Linked DNA regions of Rattus norvegicus. The protein of the gene in region 1 interacts with the protein of each later gene in a biochemical or structural test. Links are inferred from orthologs where the notes say so. Each region holds a gene or a part of one and is shown on either strand. Other genes may lie near its edges.

What was found.
Region 2: the proteins of Csnk2b (region 1) and Tnfaip1 form a complex in vitro, tested with the Homo sapiens proteins (2 studies listed by BioGRID, with this or other methods). The link is inferred for Rattus norvegicus from reciprocal best matches to the Homo sapiens genes CSNK2B and TNFAIP1.

Annotation. Positions count from the first base shown.
Region 1 is NC_086038.1:3,704,161-3,708,668, forward strand, and holds the start of Csnk2b (casein kinase II subunit beta), read left to right. Parts: upstream 1-1,562; 5' UTR 1,563-1,681; intron 1,682-2,275; coding exon of another isoform or gene 2,276-2,286; coding exon 2,287-2,358; intron 2,359-2,938; coding exon 2,939-3,041; intron 3,042-3,876; coding exon 3,877-3,992; intron 3,993-4,338; coding exon 4,339-4,414; intron 4,415-4,508. Other genes in the region: Gpank1 (G patch domain and ankyrin repeat-containing protein 1), read right to left, coding at 608-644. UniProt on the Homo sapiens protein: Regulatory subunit of casein kinase II/CK2.
Region 2 is NC_086028.1:63,927,483-63,932,044, reverse strand, and holds the start of Tnfaip1 (BTB/POZ domain-containing adapter for CUL3-mediated RhoA degradation protein 2), read left to right. Parts: upstream 1-1,530; 5' UTR 1,531-1,700; intron 1,701-4,562. UniProt on the Homo sapiens protein: Substrate-specific adapter of a BCR (BTB-CUL3-RBX1) E3 ubiquitin-protein ligase complex involved in regulation of cytoskeleton structure.

The DNA.
Region 1 (4,508 bases):
TGTGAAGACCAGCACCACCTCCAGGGGCCCAGCAGCCTACAACTAAAATGGACCTTCCATCCCCACACTGACTTCATACCTAGGATTCTGTAGAGCCCAGGGCTCATGGATAAAATGTAACCCAGGAATAACTGATCCTGCCACAATGTTAATATAATTTCAGGAGGGCATGGTAGGTACCTATGTCTCTGGGTAGAATGCTCGCCCCGAATTTGAGAATTCTAGGTTCTATCTCTAACACAGAAAAGAAAAAGGATAACAGGAAAAATATTCCACAAGAATAGGGGTCTAGGGGTCCTGCGTTCAACTCCCATCTTCCTACAAAAATGCCAGGCTCTCTCTGAAATCATTTTTCCTGTCCTCTAACACATACCGTTTGAAAATATCAGTTCAGCCTTTTAAATCTTGCTCGATCTTATCTAGGGGGGGTCTCCTTTTCCCAGATAAAAAACAGGCGTGACATTATTCCGGAAGCTTTCGGGGAAAGACGCTGCACTGTCATTTCCGTACCGCAAAATGGCGCTCTCATAATCTCTAAGAGTTGATACAATCAGAGCTACAGGGAGCCATGACGCATGCGCACCAGCAACAACAACAAAACACCCACAAGGTTCAGTTTCCCGCGCTGGAACCTTTCCAAGCATCCGTGTAAAGCATCGCGTGCCCAGGAGCGCGAGGACCCAAGGGGGAACCTGTCGGTTGGGGTCCTGCTTTTACATAACGCCCCCACAATGCTCTTCGCCACCCTCGCCCTGGTCCCTCCAGCACCAAGCTCCTTTCCTGGAGCTGGGAGGCCACCCTCTGCGTTCAGAAAGACTCTGAGGACACAGAGGGGGAGACCTGTGGAATGCCGAGGAGCTGTGAGATGAAGTAACATCACGGCACCCCTCACCACTACTCTGAGCAGGGTTTGAAGAACAGTTAGGGTCCGCAGCAGGACGCTCCATCAAGCTCTGAGGAAATGGAGAAGTACAAAGGGACGAGCGGCAGAATGGCTGGCCCCACCTCAGGTTAGCGCGCAGGGCGGTCTAGATTCTCACGCCGTATGCACAGCTCAGCGCGTCCTAAGCACACCCGACCTAAGTCCCTCACCACACCTCTGCGCATGCCGGAGCCCGAGCGCGCTCTGTCGCGGGCCTGGCAGGAGAGCCAGGGTCCAGTGGGTTGGCCTGGCACGGGGAGGAGGGAGAAAAACTAAAGCGCAACGCCGAGAGAGCACCGTAGGGATGACAATCACCCCGGGCGCTAGCCCCGTAGTCTAGCCAGCCTCCTAAGACTATATTTCCCAGGCTTCCTGGTCGAGAAGACTCCGTGCTAGGCTTCCGCTTCCGGTGGCGCTCCGTTCGCCCCGCCCCCGGGCGGCTTCCTCTAGGGCCTCGCGGCCCTAGAGTCATGCGCGGGTCCTCCTGGGATTGGTAGTTTGCCTTCCCTTCATTTCGTCAGTTTCTCTCTCCTGACGGGACTACATCTCCCGGCGTCCACGGAGGTAGGGGGGCGGTCCTTAGCGCCTGCGCGTTGCTCTCTTCTCCCCCCCAACCCCTAAACCCTCACCAGTTTCCAGTCCCCCCCTCCCCACTTCGTCTGCCGCGGCCGGGTCGGCTTTTTGCGCTGTAGCGGTCTCTGCCGTTCCTTGGAAGCACAGCTCCCCTTCCCCGCCCCAGTCCCAGTCCCCGTCCGGCCGGTGAGTGTGGGGTTGTCTCCGCGCCCAGTCGCCGGTCCCTGGGCGCGGCACTCGGGTCGGTGCTCCTCGATGTGGGGGCGACGAAGGAAGTGACCGGGTCGGTAGCCGAAGGAGGTCGGGGGGCCTGGGGAGAGGAGGCGGCTTGTGGGGACGCTCGTGAGTCCCACGGAAGTGTGGTGCCCTCGCCAACCCTGCGAGGGCAGGAGAGGCCGATTCTGTTGGGTAAAATGAACTTCGGGAGCTTTGGGACAGGCGCCAGGAATATGCAGGCACCTGCGGTGGTGGGGAGCCCGAGCCGAGGGCCCTGTCGCGGCTGACATGGAGGGGAGAGGGGCCTGGCCGTGAGGAGCGCCAGGGACGGGGGTAACACTAACAGATCAGGACCTGTCATTTTCTGGAAAGTAGCGGAACTCGTTCTCAGCACACTGTAAGGGGGGGCCGAGCTAAAGGAGAGGAGCTTGGAGATGCTTCAGAGGCCGGGATCCTTTAAGCCCGGCTGGACTCGGATTCATCCGTCGTTGTGGAGAACGTGTGGGAGGAGGGAAGAGACCAGAAACAGCTTGGTCTCCACTTACTTAGGCTCTTCTTTCTCAGCGGACATAAAGATGAGTAGCTCTGAGGAGGTGTCCTGGATTTCCTGGTTCTGTGGGCTCCGTGGTAATGAATTCTTCTGTGAGGTGAGTTTAGGTCGGCCAACTCCACATGCCCTCGATGTTTGATTTTACGTCGTTTGAGAGCAGATTTCGATCGAGCTCACTATGCAGACTAGACTGGCCTTGAACTCCTGGCAATCCTACCGGCCGCCTCCTGAGTGCTAGTATTGTGAGGGTTTGTCAATATGCATGGCTAACAGAGGTGTCTCTGGTGACCATTAGGGCAGTTAAAACCTCTCATGTCAAAGTTGTGTAACGTGCAAAGCACGGTGTGCTAAGGTAGAAAATTATAAATACCTTTCAGAAACTAAACTACTTGACCTTCATGATTCCGAGGTCTTCAGCTCAGGAGTCTGCTGTCCCCAAGAAGAGGGCACATGCAATTTGTAAAATGAGGGACAGAAGCTGAATAATGTCTTTGTGTGCTGGATCTGGTTTGCCTTAAAGAAAAGAGCTGCAGTTTTTATGAAACTTGAGTACTTCTGCAGAACTGGGACTAGGAAACATGAGAGGTGGCTTGGCTGAGGAAAGACTATCTCCTGGGCCCAGGTGGGAAGATGACGGGCCTTTCTATACTGGTTTGAACCCCTTGACTCCCCTGTAGGTGGATGAAGACTACATCCAGGACAAATTTAATCTTACTGGACTCAATGAGCAGGTGCCTCACTATCGACAAGCCCTAGACATGATCTTGGACCTGGAACCTGGTAACTAACGTGTGTCCTGGGTTGTTGCTGACTGTGGGGTTGGTGATAGAGTGCACTTGTGGGTGCTTTGTTTCCGTTCTCTTCTGCTCTCTGCTTGCTTGCTTCTTGAATTTGTTGATGTTGGGGTTTTTTTGTTTGTTTGTTTGTTTGTTTGTTTGTTTTTGTTTTGTTTTGTTTTTTGCGGGGAGAGGGGTAGTGGAGACAGGATTTTCCTGGGTAGCCTTGTCGGTCCTAGAACTCAGTCTGTAGACCAGGCTGTCCTCGAACTCACAGAGATCTGTCTGCCTCTGCCTCCTGAGTGCTGGAATCACAGACTGGCTTGCTTCTTGAATTTCTAAATTTCCTTTTGATTCTCGCTTGCTCCTGTGTTTCCTCCCCCACCTCTAGCCCCTCCATTCATAACCCAAACTGGACTTTACCACGTGCTGTCCTGCCCTAGCTTTCCATGCTGGAGAGAGGCACACAGCAGTGCTTAACTTCTCCACTGTTTTGATTCCTTGCCTGGTCTTGATGCTCTCTGAAAGCAGCTCGGCTGTTTTGTAATGGTGATTTCCTCTTGGGCCTGGTGTGCTGCCTCTTTCCCTCTGCTGCCCTCGAGGGCCACCTCTGTGGTTGTGTGTTTACATTTACTTACTGTGGAAGGAGAGAGGGACTTAGGCAGAGACTAAGGCATACAGAGAGGCTGCGCTGAGGGTCTTGACCTTGTAGAGGAGTCAGGAGCCCAGGTTTCTGGGTCAGATGCATGGATGGTGGGTAGGGCGAGCTTAGGAACAGGTACTGCAGGTAAGGTAGGGATACCTAGGGAAGCTAAACAAGTGGCCGCCCCACATTTCAGATGAAGAGCTGGAAGACAACCCCAACCAGAGTGACTTGATTGAGCAGGCGGCCGAGATGCTCTATGGGTTGATCCACGCCCGCTACATCCTCACCAACCGGGGCATTGCACAAATGGTGAGGCTCTGCTCCTGCTACTTCTACAGGAGGGGAAGGGTGCATGAGTCAGAGGCTGGGGAAGAGGAGAGAGGGAGATGCCCAGGGCAGGGCCACTGAGGGTCCCATTGAAGGTGGTGTTTTCAGGAAGGGAGATGAAACCAGAAAAAGGAGTTTGCAGGGGACACATGGCAAACAGCCCTGTGCTCTGCAGCCGGCCCCACGAAGGAAAAGCACCTGAGGGGTTGGAGGGCCTGTCTCCACAGAAGGGGCTTCTAGTCAGACTCGGGAGGCGTGGGGGAACCGGGAGTGCGTTGAGATTGCCTACGCACTCACCGACCACTCCCTTCTGTTTTATACATGTCAGTTGGAAAAGTACCAGCAAGGAGACTTTGGCTACTGTCCTCGAGTATACTGTGAGAACCAGCCGATGCTTCCCATCGGTGAGTGTTTATGGGAGGAGGGCACTCTCTGGCCGTCCTGCAAGAAGCTGGCTTGGTGTACACAGTGCCTGAGTCCTGTGGGAGGCTGGGGAGA
Region 2 (4,562 bases), on another chromosome or scaffold:
GACAGAGTGAACACAGTATCTCCAGGCAGATGTAAGCAAATAAACACAAACTGTGATCAAAGTATGAACAGCACTCAGTGCTGTCAGGATTCTACAGGAGAACATAACTCAAGTGTGCAGAGAGGTCAACAAAAGCCTTCAGTAAAAACAATCTGAGACCTAAACATGTCCAAAAAAATCTTCTAAGAGAAGGGAGAGGCACATTCCAGGCACAGGGAAAAGCATATGGGAGCATCCCGAGGCTATAAGAATTTGACACAAAGGGTCCTGGGATCAAAACAGCAAGAGGGAGCAATGGGACAATTAGCTATAGCTGGATGACTAAATGCTTCGAAAGCTCCAGAAATGAACTTGGATTTTTTTTTTATAATGGTAACAGCTAGCAGTGGATTCCAGTAGTGCTTATCAATCAGATTGGAAAGATCACTCTTGGCCGAACGGAGGAAACAGGAAAGAGCAGCACAGGCGTGCCTTCCAGATTTCTCACTGTGAGCCTAGCATCTCTAAGCAGGCTGCCTGCAGGTGAGCGGCACTCTGATAATGTTTGCAGAATGAATGAATTAGTGTGGAAACAGTAGGCTGTAACAGAAGAAAAGACTTGAAGCCGAACGGGAGTTCAGAGATCAGATGTTGTCTGAATTGACAGAATGTATTAATGCTTAAAGCAGCACTTGGGAGAAAAGTGAAAAGAGCCAAACACGACTGCCACGAATCTGGATTGGACCGAGTGTATGGCTGGAAAGGACAGTTTAAGGAGATGGGTAAGAAAGCGTTGCAGGGAAATGGTACACAGCGGACTATCAGATCCCCACCCCACCCCTAACCCCCACGACAAATAAGTTCCAGGGTCCTGGGATTGAGTTTCCTAAACATGAGGGGCTGTGCTTGGCTCTACGCCCCCTGGCTCTCCCAGGTCCGCTGGCATTGCGATAGTTGGAGCTGTGAGGTGTGAAGGCGCAGCCATAGTAAGAAAGGACTGGACAAATGGCGCAGAATATCTGAACCTCGGTTTCCCGGTGATTTCGAGGGAGCAACGCTCTCGGGCTGAGCTGAGTGTAAACCCGCTCCCTAAAAATTCCGAGGTGTGGAAACCGCCGCTTTAAACCCGGGCCTGCGAATATGCAGCGCCACGTCACATCGGCCTCCTCTCGCCCCAAGTCCTCCAAGTCCCCTCACGACTTACCTGCCGAGCCGTCTCGACAGCGCGCTGCGGCCCAGACGACTGTCGGTAGAAGCTTCTCTTCAGTAACTGCAATCGGCGGCTGCCACGGATACTGGACCTATAAACCACACGTCACTCCCAAGACCAGAAGCACTACTATCCGCCCTCCCCGAGGTGTTTGCTGGGAAATAGAGGCAACACGAGAGAAATAACTCCCCACTAGGTCCAGAAGCCTTTGCGCCGGGGGCGGGATGTGTGTGTGTGGGGAGACTATGACACCGGAAGTAGATTGTTCCCAAACCCGGAAGTAAAAAGTAGTCAAACTTCTGAGAGTTTTCTACTTCAATGTCCAGTCGCGCGCTGTGCATGCCGGGTCTTGTAGTCTGTTTCCCCGATATGCAGGGTTGGGCTGTAACTCCGAAGTCGGCGGGCGCAGGATGTGAGCTCACAGCCGAGATTGCAGATAGCTAGCTACAGGCCAGAGGCCGCACGGAGTTCGCTTGCCACTTGGCTGAGAGGAAAGGCGCCCCCGCGGACGGTGAGAGCTAGACGTGCGGGTGCAAAGGGGAAGGATAGGCTCTGCCGAGTCTTGGGCAAAAGGCACGGGACGGCGCGCGGGGTTGAAGTTCTGGTCTTCTAGGGAGGATCTCAGTTTTATCAGAAGAGGAGGGGTGTGGCGGGGAGAGCAGCCTACACTGCCACGAAAGACAAGGGATATTTCTCCATTTCCACAGGAGATCCTTTGGGTGAAACATAAGTGTCGCTTCCACGATTTCTGAACTTTCTAGCCAAAATCAACTCTCCCACCTTCTCGCCGTACCTTTCTTCCTTTAGGACCTCTAAAGACTACCGCGATCGTTTGCCCTTTGTTCTGCTTGGCTTCGCATTAGGTTCCCATAGAGACACCTGTACGTCCCCAACCCCAGGATTACCCCTCTATCCACAGGCGAAGTCTAGAGGAAAGAGCGCTGAGAGTATCAGTGGAAACTTCATCCTCTCAGAAATTTCTTTCTAGGGCGTCACCTGCCATTGGACTCTTGGAACTCATTGGTCTGGGTGGAATCTGGTCTGACGTCATCTAGGACTCAAAGTGGCTGCTTTGTAGGAAAAGAATAGATTAGCTCCGGATTTGATTTCCTCAATTGGCAAACCTAGTTCACCGAGTTTCTTTGATTTGGCAGAACGTGTTTATGTGCTTCTTGATTCTGCGGAAATGGGGATTGGACACAAAATATGTGAGGAACTTGCTAACACTTGTTAAGGGGGTGAATGTTTTTTCCTCCTTTGAGGTAAAGCAGTCGCTCACCATTCTAGCATTCTAGTGTTACTGTCAGTTACCCGGAGCTCATATTCCATCACTGAAACAAATAAGAAGCCATAAAAAGGATGTGCTACTTAATATAGCACCACCCTATCCTTCCCCAGACAGCCCCCACCCCAGGGACATACCAAAATCTTTTCAGGGTCAGTTTTAGTTTAACAAGCTGATCTATATTGAATACTTAAGAGTGCCTTTCTTGTTTGAGGACCAGTGTTCTGGGTTTTACCTGTAAGACATGAGGAGTAACAGTAAACGACTGAGTGTTCTGGGGTTTAAAGAGGTTGGTTCCGCTTTGGGTTTTGAGGTCATTTCTGTCTCCAGCATTGCTGCTGCGGTCTAAGCCTTTGTCATCAATTGCCTGGACCACTCCTCCCTCCGGTCTTCCCACTTCCTTTCATGTGCCTTTGCACTCCACACAGCATCAAGTTGTCCTCGGAAACTATAAATCAGATCACATCTCTTCCCTGCTAAGAGCCTCCCAGGTTCCCAAAGTCGCTGCAATTCCCATAACCCCCGGCTCTTCCTGTCATGTAATACTTGCTTTCTCTGGCTTTCCATCAGACCGTCTTCCCCCTTTTTGTTGTATACTAGCTACCATGTCACTACTGTCCCCAAAACTTGTACCTTTTGAGTAATTTATGTGTGCGGTGACTTTTGGCTGCATGTGTGTCTGTACACCACGTGTGTGCCTGGAGCCCACACTGACCAGAAGAGGGCATCAGAACTTCTAGAACTGGACTTAAAGATGGTTGTGAGCCACCATCTAGGAATGCTAGGAATTGAACCTAGATCCTGGAAGAGCAGCCAGTACACCTAACTCCTGAGCCATCTCTCCAGCCCCATAAAACTTGTTTCGCTTTTTAAAATGTGTTTGTACGTGTGTGTGCCTGAGTGTATATATGAGTACTGTGTGCGTGCATGCAGCAGTACCCAGAAGAGGGTATCAGATTCCCTTGAAACAGGACAGAGTATTGATTTGGGTGCTGGGAACCGTACCAGGGTCTATTGCAAGAGGAATACACACAGGTTCTTATCCTCTGAGCAATTTCTTCAGCCTCTAAAACCTGCTTAGATAGGAGCTTTGCTCTTGCTGCCTAGACTCTACTTCTTGGACCTTGGCTGAAACGTCATCTTCAATTGGTCTCAAGCCTCAACCTGATCGTTCTCATGAGATTCCTGTATTCTCAGTGACATTGATGGCCTCTATAACTGTCCGCCACTTTGTTCCCTCATTTATAGTGTATCTTCTGGTCTGTTTTTGTCTGAGGTAGGATCTCTATGTAGCCTGGAACTTCCAATGCTGGGATCAAAGGCATGTGCCACCACACCCAACTAGTCTGTCTTCTTCCGCTGGAATGTGGGGTTCATGAGGGTAGAACTCTTCTGTATTTCTTCTTCCTTTCTAATCTCAGTGCCTGACACAGTAGGACCATAATAAATGCTTCTTTTTTTTTTTTTCTTGTTGGGCTGAGGATGTAGTGTTTGCTTAGCATGCATGAAATCCTGGATTTGGTCCTCAGCACCATATAAAGTAGGCACATGGCTAAAACCCCAGCACTCGGGAGATGGAAGCCGGAAGATCAGAAATGCAGTCAGTGTTCTCAGTAAGCTGGAGGCCAGACTGGGCTACAAGAGACCCTGTCTCAAAACAGCAAGTCTTATGAACATTATGGTGTTTTTTGACTTCCTTGAAGCAAAAACGGTGTATTTATATGGTTCCTACTGCTTACTATAACAGGTTCCAAATAGTTTTATTGTCAAGTGAATTAAGTGAGATAAAATATATATACCCAATGCCTATAAAACTCAGTACCACAAAGCTAAGCATGAAGTGAATTAAACTATGATACTTTTTCTTTGGTGAATGGATTTTAGTGATTTATTTATTTATTTATTTATTTATTTATTTTTGGTTTTTTTGAGACAGTGTCTCTATGGAGCCCTGGCTGTCCTGGATTTGCTTTGTAGATCAAGACGGTTTTGAACTCCCAGAGCCTGCCTCTGGCTCCCAAGTGCTGGGATTAAAGGTGTATGCCATACGCCTGGTTTATTTTTAATTTTTTTAAAAGATTTATTTAT